2 linked regions of the Caenorhabditis elegans genome follow. The protein of the gene in region 1 purifies or fractionates together with the protein of each later gene. This does not show direct contact. Each region holds a gene or a part of one and is shown in the gene's direction. Other genes may lie near its edges. The genes, in order: rcs-1 and cpi-1.

What was found.
Region 2: the proteins of rcs-1 (region 1) and cpi-1 fractionate together in Caenorhabditis elegans (co-fractionation; one large-scale study listed by BioGRID). This does not show direct contact.

What each region holds. Positions count from the first base shown.
Region 1 is NC_003284.9:8,825,895-8,830,583, reverse strand, and holds rcs-1 (RING-type domain-containing protein), read left to right. Parts: upstream 1-2,065; 5' UTR 2,066-2,096; coding exon 2,097-2,172; intron 2,173-2,219; coding exon 2,220-2,404; coding exon of another isoform or gene 2,405-2,449; coding exon 2,450-2,518; intron 2,519-2,646; coding exon 2,647-2,834; intron 2,835-2,879; coding exon 2,880-2,934; intron 2,935-2,979; coding exon 2,980-3,253; intron 3,254-3,726; coding exon 3,727-3,788; 3' UTR 3,789-3,980; downstream 3,981-4,689. Other genes in the region: C28G1.6 (RING-type domain-containing protein), read left to right, coding at 1-52, 103-157, 207-480, 530-588.
Region 2 is NC_003282.8:6,092,101-6,095,640, reverse strand, and holds cpi-1 (Cystatin cpi-1), read left to right. Parts: upstream 1-2,008; 5' UTR 2,009-2,023; coding exon 2,024-2,125; intron 2,126-2,417; exon of another isoform or gene 2,418-2,439; intron 2,440-2,572; coding exon 2,573-2,644; intron 2,645-2,719; coding exon 2,720-2,965; 3' UTR 2,966-3,038; downstream 3,039-3,540. Other genes in the region: K08B4.7 (Cystatin), read left to right, coding at 3,293-3,394. UniProt on the Caenorhabditis elegans protein: Cysteine protease inhibitor which inhibits members of the peptidase C1 family. Does not inhibit asparaginyl endopeptidase. May play a protective role against exogenous cysteine proteases derived from soil bacteria or fungi, or rotting fruits and vegetation.

The sequences.
Region 1 (4,689 bases):
GACTCAGCAAGTTCATTGATACCATTGAGAACAGTTTGCGTGATTTTGAAAAGTATATCAAAAACCTTTATAATGTACAATTAATATTGCATCGATTTTTAGAGCTGAAAACTCACTTTCTTCTGACAGCAACGCATTCATGGATACCATAAACGAAGTATTAAAAAAAGCTTTGAATCTTTTGAGGTTGAACACATTCATTGCAGATAAAAGGCCATTATGACAGCATGCGTAAGAATATTGATGTTCGAGAGCAAAAGTCAATTGAAGAGCTGGGCATATTAGCAGAGCGGCAACTTATGGAAAATAGGAATAAGGTTGGAGCACTGAAATCAGGGCATCGTTACTTTGAAGATAAGCTTGCTGAAATCAAACGACTAAGTCTCTTGGATGAATCAATTTTGATTAATGAAGCTGGAAATATTAAATCAATGGCAGATGCAACAGAATCATTGGTTCAGAATCCGTCTGCAAATACACGTAATACATTTCATTTCTTACACATTCGACACATTTCAAGATTTTTCAGCAATTCCTTTATCAATTCACAATGTGAAAGTCGAATTGCCGAAATTTCAATTTTGCTAGCCTGCTGCAATAAGTTTTGGTTCTCGATGTACATTCAATATTCAATAAACACTTGTTGTTTTCTTTCCTGAAATTCCTCGTTATCTTAGGATTGAGATCATGATAACATTTGTCTGAGCAAAAGTTGTAAACCTGCTACTCTTAAAATACGTGATCTTTGAAAAGTTACAATCCTTGCTAAGTTTAAAATATGGGGCAGAGTGTTGCGAAAAAAAAAGTTATCTGCGTCTCGCATTTCTTATCTATTTTTGGTCTTACTATTGGCTTTCATTCATACAAAAAGTATTGTTCATTTTCTTCAAATATTTTTTGTTTGTTAAAACTTTTGTTAAATGTATTTGGTTTTTTATTACTATTTTGGATATGATCTCCAGTGGAATCAGCAATTCCTGAATAGTTACAAATAACGACTGTGACACACTTTTCTGATTTTTATAATGTGAATTGAGTAAAATGCAGAACGTTTCAATGTACCACTTTCAGATATATTTGAACACTAGAATAAATGGTCTTTCCGTAACTTGTTTATTTTCTGAAATAAAATCTGTACCACGTTTTGATGTATACTGTATTGTGAAAATGATATTGAACAAATTTTTGCCCGTTAGTCACTTTTTAATGTTTTATCAATAAGTGTTTGCACAGCAAGTTTACCACTCGACACTATGATATAATTCAGTACTGAATTCAAACACATACTCTGATATTTTTACTCTCATTTTGGCTTACCTTTTTTCACACACTTGTTCTAACATGTGTAGTTTTTCACGCAGTATCTATTCTTCTCTTTTCTCTGTTTGTTGTCTTTTTTTATTGGTAGTATTCATATCAACGCAAATCGATTTTCAACATATTTTTTTCCATTTTACAAAGTTATTCGACAAGAAAATTTGAAAAAAGTTGAAAACAAAGCAAATTTAGCTTTTTCTAAAATGAATGAATCATCTCTTGCTTGATACTCACTATTAGTTTTAGCTTTATTTTAAATAGGAAAATTTCCTGAAAATACGCATTTGGTGTTTTGACCGAATTCCAAAATGCAACATTAAAAAATTTTTTGTGTCAACTTGAACATCGTAAGTTTTTCATTTTCGCAACAAGAGAAAACATGTTAAAAAAAAGGTGCAGAAATGGAAAGAACTGCGCACTGGTAGTAAAAAGCTTTGACAAAAACGTAATAATTCAAATTAGAATTTGTCAAAAACTTAAGCTTTTTACATTTTAAATCTGAAATTAAAAAAGTGTTAAAATTTTCCTAGCGCTTTTTACCTTTCGATTGGAAACTAGTGATCCTTATTGTGTTTTTTTCCTTCCTGTGCATTTCCTTCAACAAACAAACATCGTTTTGAAATAAAATTTCGTAAGCCTTTTTTAGTTTTTTGATGATTCGTTTTATTCAATAGTCAACTGTGCTATCTTATCTAAGAGTCAGAAAAAGCGTCTTAAAACTTCTGCAAATGGTTGACTCAATTTTTCCTTTCAGGTTATAATCGCTCAATTTGAATATAATGTCGTTCCCAAAATGTAAGATTTGCTTCGACCGCTTTTCCGATACCGACAGCGAACATATTCCAAGAAATCTGAGTAAGTCGTGTAAATAATTATACGCAAATTGTAATTCAATATTTTAGCTTGTGGACATGCTCTGTGTCACAAATGTATCACAGCGATGGTGAATAACAGTACTGTAGAATGTCCATTTTGTCGAACAGTAACAAACATTGTAAATAACGACATTACAAAGCTGCTCAAAAACTTTGCCCTGATTGAGGTTATTGAGGATGCCAGGTATAGTTTGAATAAGAAGGACGTTGTGGTAAGCTGCATAACAGAAGGTTTGCTAAATAGTAGTTTTGGTTAGGTTGTCAATTCGAACTCCCCTCCGATGTGCAAAAACCATCCACACAACCTGGCCGAGTTCGTTTGCGTCGTAAGTATTTTATTGGCTTTTCCGAATGAGTTTTATGAAAAATGGGCACAGTTTGGCAAATTAGAAACATAATATTTTTTAATCAAAAATCGACGCCGTCATTATCTAGTAGAAATTCACATTTTCAGACGAGCGGCTGCAAATCTCAATGTAAACTAATGTGCCGCACCTGTGAAGAATTCGGAAACCACAAGGGGCATACCAGAGGCTTGTTGCAAGAGGAAGCAGCTAAAATGAGAACGGTCCTGAACAATTCAGAAACTAAACTTGAAAACTTCTGTGACTCAATTCAATCTTGCATTGAACAGTACAAAAAGTTTGTTGCAATTTAGAATTTATAATCTTTATAAAGTTTTTTCAGTGCTCAACGTTCTTTTGAATCTAGTGGAGCTACGTACAAGGCAAAAGTTAAATCGGTATTTCAATTTGACAAACTATGTTTTCTATTTTCAAATTTTCAGATTGAAGAACACTTCAAGAAAATTAAAGAAATGGTAGCACAGCGGGAGAAGGAAACTCTTGTGGAATTGAAAGATGCAGCAGATTGCTGCCTTGACGACAACAAAAAGAAAATGGAAATTCTATCCGTAGGACATCAACGTTTCAAACAAAAGCTCACTGATATGAAAGAATTTCACAATATCAACCAAGCCGGGCTGCTCAGCAAAGAATCTCAAATCATGGAACTTGTGGAAATGGCAAAAATTGCAACGCAATCAAATGTTGTTAACGCACGTGAGTTTATATTTTCTTGCCATATATTTTCTATTAGTGTTCTATTAGTGCTACAGCACTTATTTTCAGTCCCTTTTTGAACGCAGCACTATTAGAGACGGCAGTGCAAATTTTCGAACTAGCTTTTAGTCACAAAAGCTCATCTTTTAAGCAGAAATTCATAAGGAGTGAATATTTTTGTAACATAAAGACATAATGATTTCATGATGTTTGTAAATTAACAATAACCATCAAAAATAATCAAAAATGAACAAAAACACTCCCCCAAATGTCGAAGCTATTGAGGTGACTCATTTAATGGAAAATGGGTGCCGCATTAATAGAAACTGCAGCACTAATTTTCGAAAGGACTATTGGGGTGCAGCATTAATAGAGAAAATACGGTATTGCGCAATGTGTCAAATAGCTAAATAGGAAACTTCTACCGGGTACCTCATCAAATTTCTGAAACCATAACAATTTAGGATTTTCAGCTCAACCAACCAAAATGGATGACATAACAATCAACCTTGCGTCTTTCAATTTTGGAAAATAAAATATAACGGATATTCTACTTATATGATTCAATAACCATTCATCTAAAATTAATTAATGATATTTTCCAACTTTACTGTTTTTTTTTTACTAAATGAACATTGTTTTAAATTCTTATAAGTTATTCATTTGACAGCCAGTTTATGATTTTCATCCAAATAAAGTCTTGACAACATGAATGAGACACTTGTATGTGATTTAAAGGACAACTAACTATTGAAAACGAGTTGGAACCTACCGAAAATTTTGTAATGAGAATCCTATAATAATTCTCAAAAATTGTCAAATGTCCCGTGTCACAGCTATAGGAAACCAGAAATGACAATCATGATTATCCGCTCAAAAAGTAGCTTACTAGGGAATATCTTCCACCAGCACGCCTCAATCTGAAAGTTTTTTAGGTCAAACGGAAGCTAAGATCATTGGCTAACATAATTTATTTTTCGTTTCTGCTGGCGAGTCACACAGGGCTGAAAATTTCCGTCTGAAAATTTAGTACTATTTCTGTTGAAAAGCTTGTTTTTAACGTGTAGAAAAGGCTACATAAAAGTTTTGCACTGAAAGCACCGTTTGAATGGCCGATTGGTTAACGTTTACGTCAATAATCACATTTCGGTGGTTCTTTTCCCACACGGGTAAATTTAATTTTGCAATTTTTCCCAAAACCTGAAATATGCTCAAAAACAGTGTTACATGAATTTTTAGAAAGTCTCGTATCGATTTTAAGCTTCTGGAATAGCAAACCAGCCAAATTCTAATTTTTGGAAAGTTTTTACAGTTTGAAGATTTTCAAACTTGAAGATTCGCAAACCTGGAGCATGCGGATTTTTTTTCACAAATTGTTTTTTTTTTCAAAAAAGTTTTAAAAAAAGGTTCACATTGTAGAAAAACATTTGTTAGTC
Region 2 (3,540 bases), on another chromosome or scaffold:
CGGAAACTCATGAAAAGCGAGAAGAACAAAACAAAATTCGCCGATTTAACGATTCGAAAGCGACAGAAAACCTTAATTTTAAAAATATTTCAATTAAATTTATCGATAATTTCAATAATTTCAATAAAAAACTTACGGAAACTGTGCGTGCACGTGATCCCAGGTTGGCTGCGGTGTTTTCGGCGATTCGTAGAAATTATCGTGTGTTGAGTAGGCGAGAGGCATTTCCTGAAATTTCTGAATGTTATTTTCATCAATTATAACAAAAATTACAAGAAATAACAGTGGAAACGAAGAGAAATCGTTGAAAATCGAGAAGTAAAATTTAAAATATTTTTCAATTTGAAAATTTTGTGCATTTTAACGTGGCGGTGTTTGCGTACATTTTGAATTTTCTCATTGTCGACCGTAGTTTTCGGTAATTATTGTGAAAAATCGGATGTTCAAACGAACTTTCGTTTGAACATCCGATTTTTCTACGCGTGGAGATGAGTTGTGTGTGTACTCCACACGGACAAATACATCAGTTTTACAACTAGTTGTAACTAAAAACGAGCCGCGAAGCCACACGCAACGCGCCGTAAATTTACACAAAATCTCTCCGACCCAAAATGCAGCCTAATTCGTAAGGTATTGTTGATTTTTATTTCATTATCTTTTCTTGCTAATTGAAAAAAGTCACATACAAAGCGCATGTTTTATTAAAACAATACTTTTTTCCGATCACATGCTGTTATTTTGATACAGTTTCGGTAGAACTTTTGATTTTAGTCTTTACTTTTAAATCTCGCCGCGATTGTACTGTAAGTGATTAAGATATGTATATTACGGGAACAATAAAGCATGATAATGCGTACTTGGTGCATTTTATTTGACGCGCGATATCTCTTAGCGAAAACTACAGTAAGAGCTTAAATATTTATTGTTATTTGAGTTCTTACTGTAGTTTTCGCTAAGAGATATCCCGGGTCAAATAAAAGCACCAAGTACGCGTTCTCATGATTTCTTGTTCCCGTAATACGGTACGATCGCTTTGAGGAAACTATGGTGTTTTAACAATGACTGTGAATTCTGTCTTTCTTTGACGATATGAAACTTCATGATATTAAACTTCCGTAGCTAATTAACCAATGCGGGATGTTTTTGACCCGGGTGGCCGACAGACAACATTTTAATGGAATGGAAACGACTGCCCGGCTGCCCCAATCACGCAAACCTTGATAACTATTGTATTCTTTCACGTCTCCCAGAGAGCGTAATAAATTATTAATTACCAGCCGTGGACCGCACCTACGGCGCGGCCCCCGACTTTTTTGAGAAAACACATTAGATATACGGTGTCTATCGCGGACCTCGATCGATGTCTGCTGCGCATTTAGCATAAGGTTTCCCAAAATTTCGTCGCTCTGATCAGAGATCAAACTACATAGGGACAGAAGGACACGCGCTTTATATATAGTAAATGATTATTATGTGTTGACTAAGATCGTGGCAAGATCCACACGGAAAACATCGTGTGGCTTTATAAAATCATGTGAAGGTAAAATTCGCTTTTCTAAAAATAAAGTTCTTCAGTTCTGAAAGATTGGAACAGCCCTTCATTTAAAACAAGTTCACTTAACTTGAATGTGAAACAGTAAATTATTTATACAAAATTTTGTAAATATTTTTTGAACTAAAACGTAGTTTTGAACTCATGCCTTGTTACTTCATTTTCAGAAGCTCTGGAATTTCTATCATTGCTTTCAGGTGCAAAAAAACTCTGCAAGAATTCCTGAAGCGGCACTTTTTTCCAGAAAAACAGAACATGCAAAAGTCGAAAATAATTTATGAAATGATATCATCATATTCAGTTGTAAACAAACTTTCCAAAGGAAGATAATGAGTCATAGCTGTTGCAATGATCGATTCTTTCTCTTTTTTCAATCAAATTGTTGATCTTTAGCTGTCTCGCTCTTATCACTCACCAACTGACTCTTATAAAAGCAAACGAATGTTGACATATTTTGTGACAAAAATAAAAATGCGTTTCATTCTTCTTATCGCACTTGTTTTCGCTGTTCTTGACGGAATAAATTGCCAAATTGCTGGTGGATTGTCTGATGTGAATGCCTCTGAGTATACTGTAAGTTTTACTTAGGCTTTTTGTTGAGAAAATGCTCATTTTGTGAAGATTTCTTATATTTTTTAAAACTATAGTTGATACTTACTCTTAGGATACTTAGTCCGGTTTACTATAATTTTAATTTCTTTCAATATTCGATAAATTCATTTTTTTAAACAAAAAAAACTGGAATAAAAATTTAGCGCTTTGAAAAATTCAATTACGACTCAAAATGCTTATAAAACAAATTAAAATTAAGAGTTTTAATTTCAAAACTGCTATTCAAAACTAATTGGCACTTCGCGCAAAATTTTAATAAATGTCTACTGGTTGAACAGTATCATTTAAAAATTTTGTGCACAAATGTAAACTGTGAAACAGTGAAAAAATTCATATTTCGAAAAAAGATTTTGGTTACCGTAATTTTCAATTTAAAATATATATGCACTTTTAGTTATGAGTTTTCAGGGAGCAGCTTGGAATTCGGTGCCGGAAATAAACAGTAAGAATAATGGACAAAACTACATGGTTCCAATTAAGGTAGGTTTACTCCTCAGAGGCAAAAAATGCTGTTCAAAAAATAATACTTTGCGCTTTTATAACACTCTTATTTAGGTTGTTAAAGCTCAAGTTCAAGTTGTTGCCGGAACCAATACAGTTTTGGAAGTTCTTGTTGGAGAGTCAACTTGTCCGAGACAAGGATCAGTTCAAGCTTCTCAAGTCACTGCTGCAAATTGTCCATTGAAGTCTGGTGGCAAGCGTGAACTTTACAAAGTGTCCATTTGGGAGAAACCATGGGAAAACTTCAAGCAAACTAAGGCTGAAAAAATCAGAGGTGTGAAACCTGATGAAAAAATTTAAATTAAATCTGGTGAATGTATTCTTGCTTTCTGTACTATTTTAAAAAATTGCTAATAAAGAACTTTGGTTTTTGAAAATAGTTGCTGCGTTACGTACTTTTCTTTCCAGCTAAAACCCTAATATACATCTGAAGAAAATATTTTTTGAAATTATATCATTATATTCCGTTGAAAATCAATTGTCCATGGGAAGACAATGAGTCATACCTGTTGCGATGATCGATTTTTTTTTGAATCAAACCCTTGATCTTTTGCTGTGTCCTGTTCATCACGCACTCCCTCTCACTCCTATAAAAGCAAACGAATGTTGATATACTTTGAGACAAAAATGCGTTTTATTCTTTCTATCGCACTTCTTTTTGCTGTTCTTGATGGAATGAATTGTCAAGTTCTTGGTGGATTTTCTAATCTGAACGCTTCCGAGTATACCGTAAGTTTTCTTTTTGTAGTGCATTTTAAAATTGTGCGTTGGAAACTTTTAAAGCTCAGAAATTGGAATAATTTGAGTTTCTTAATTTAAAAGCGAAACTATCACTCGCGCTACGTTCTTTCCAATAATATAAGTAGATTGAAACA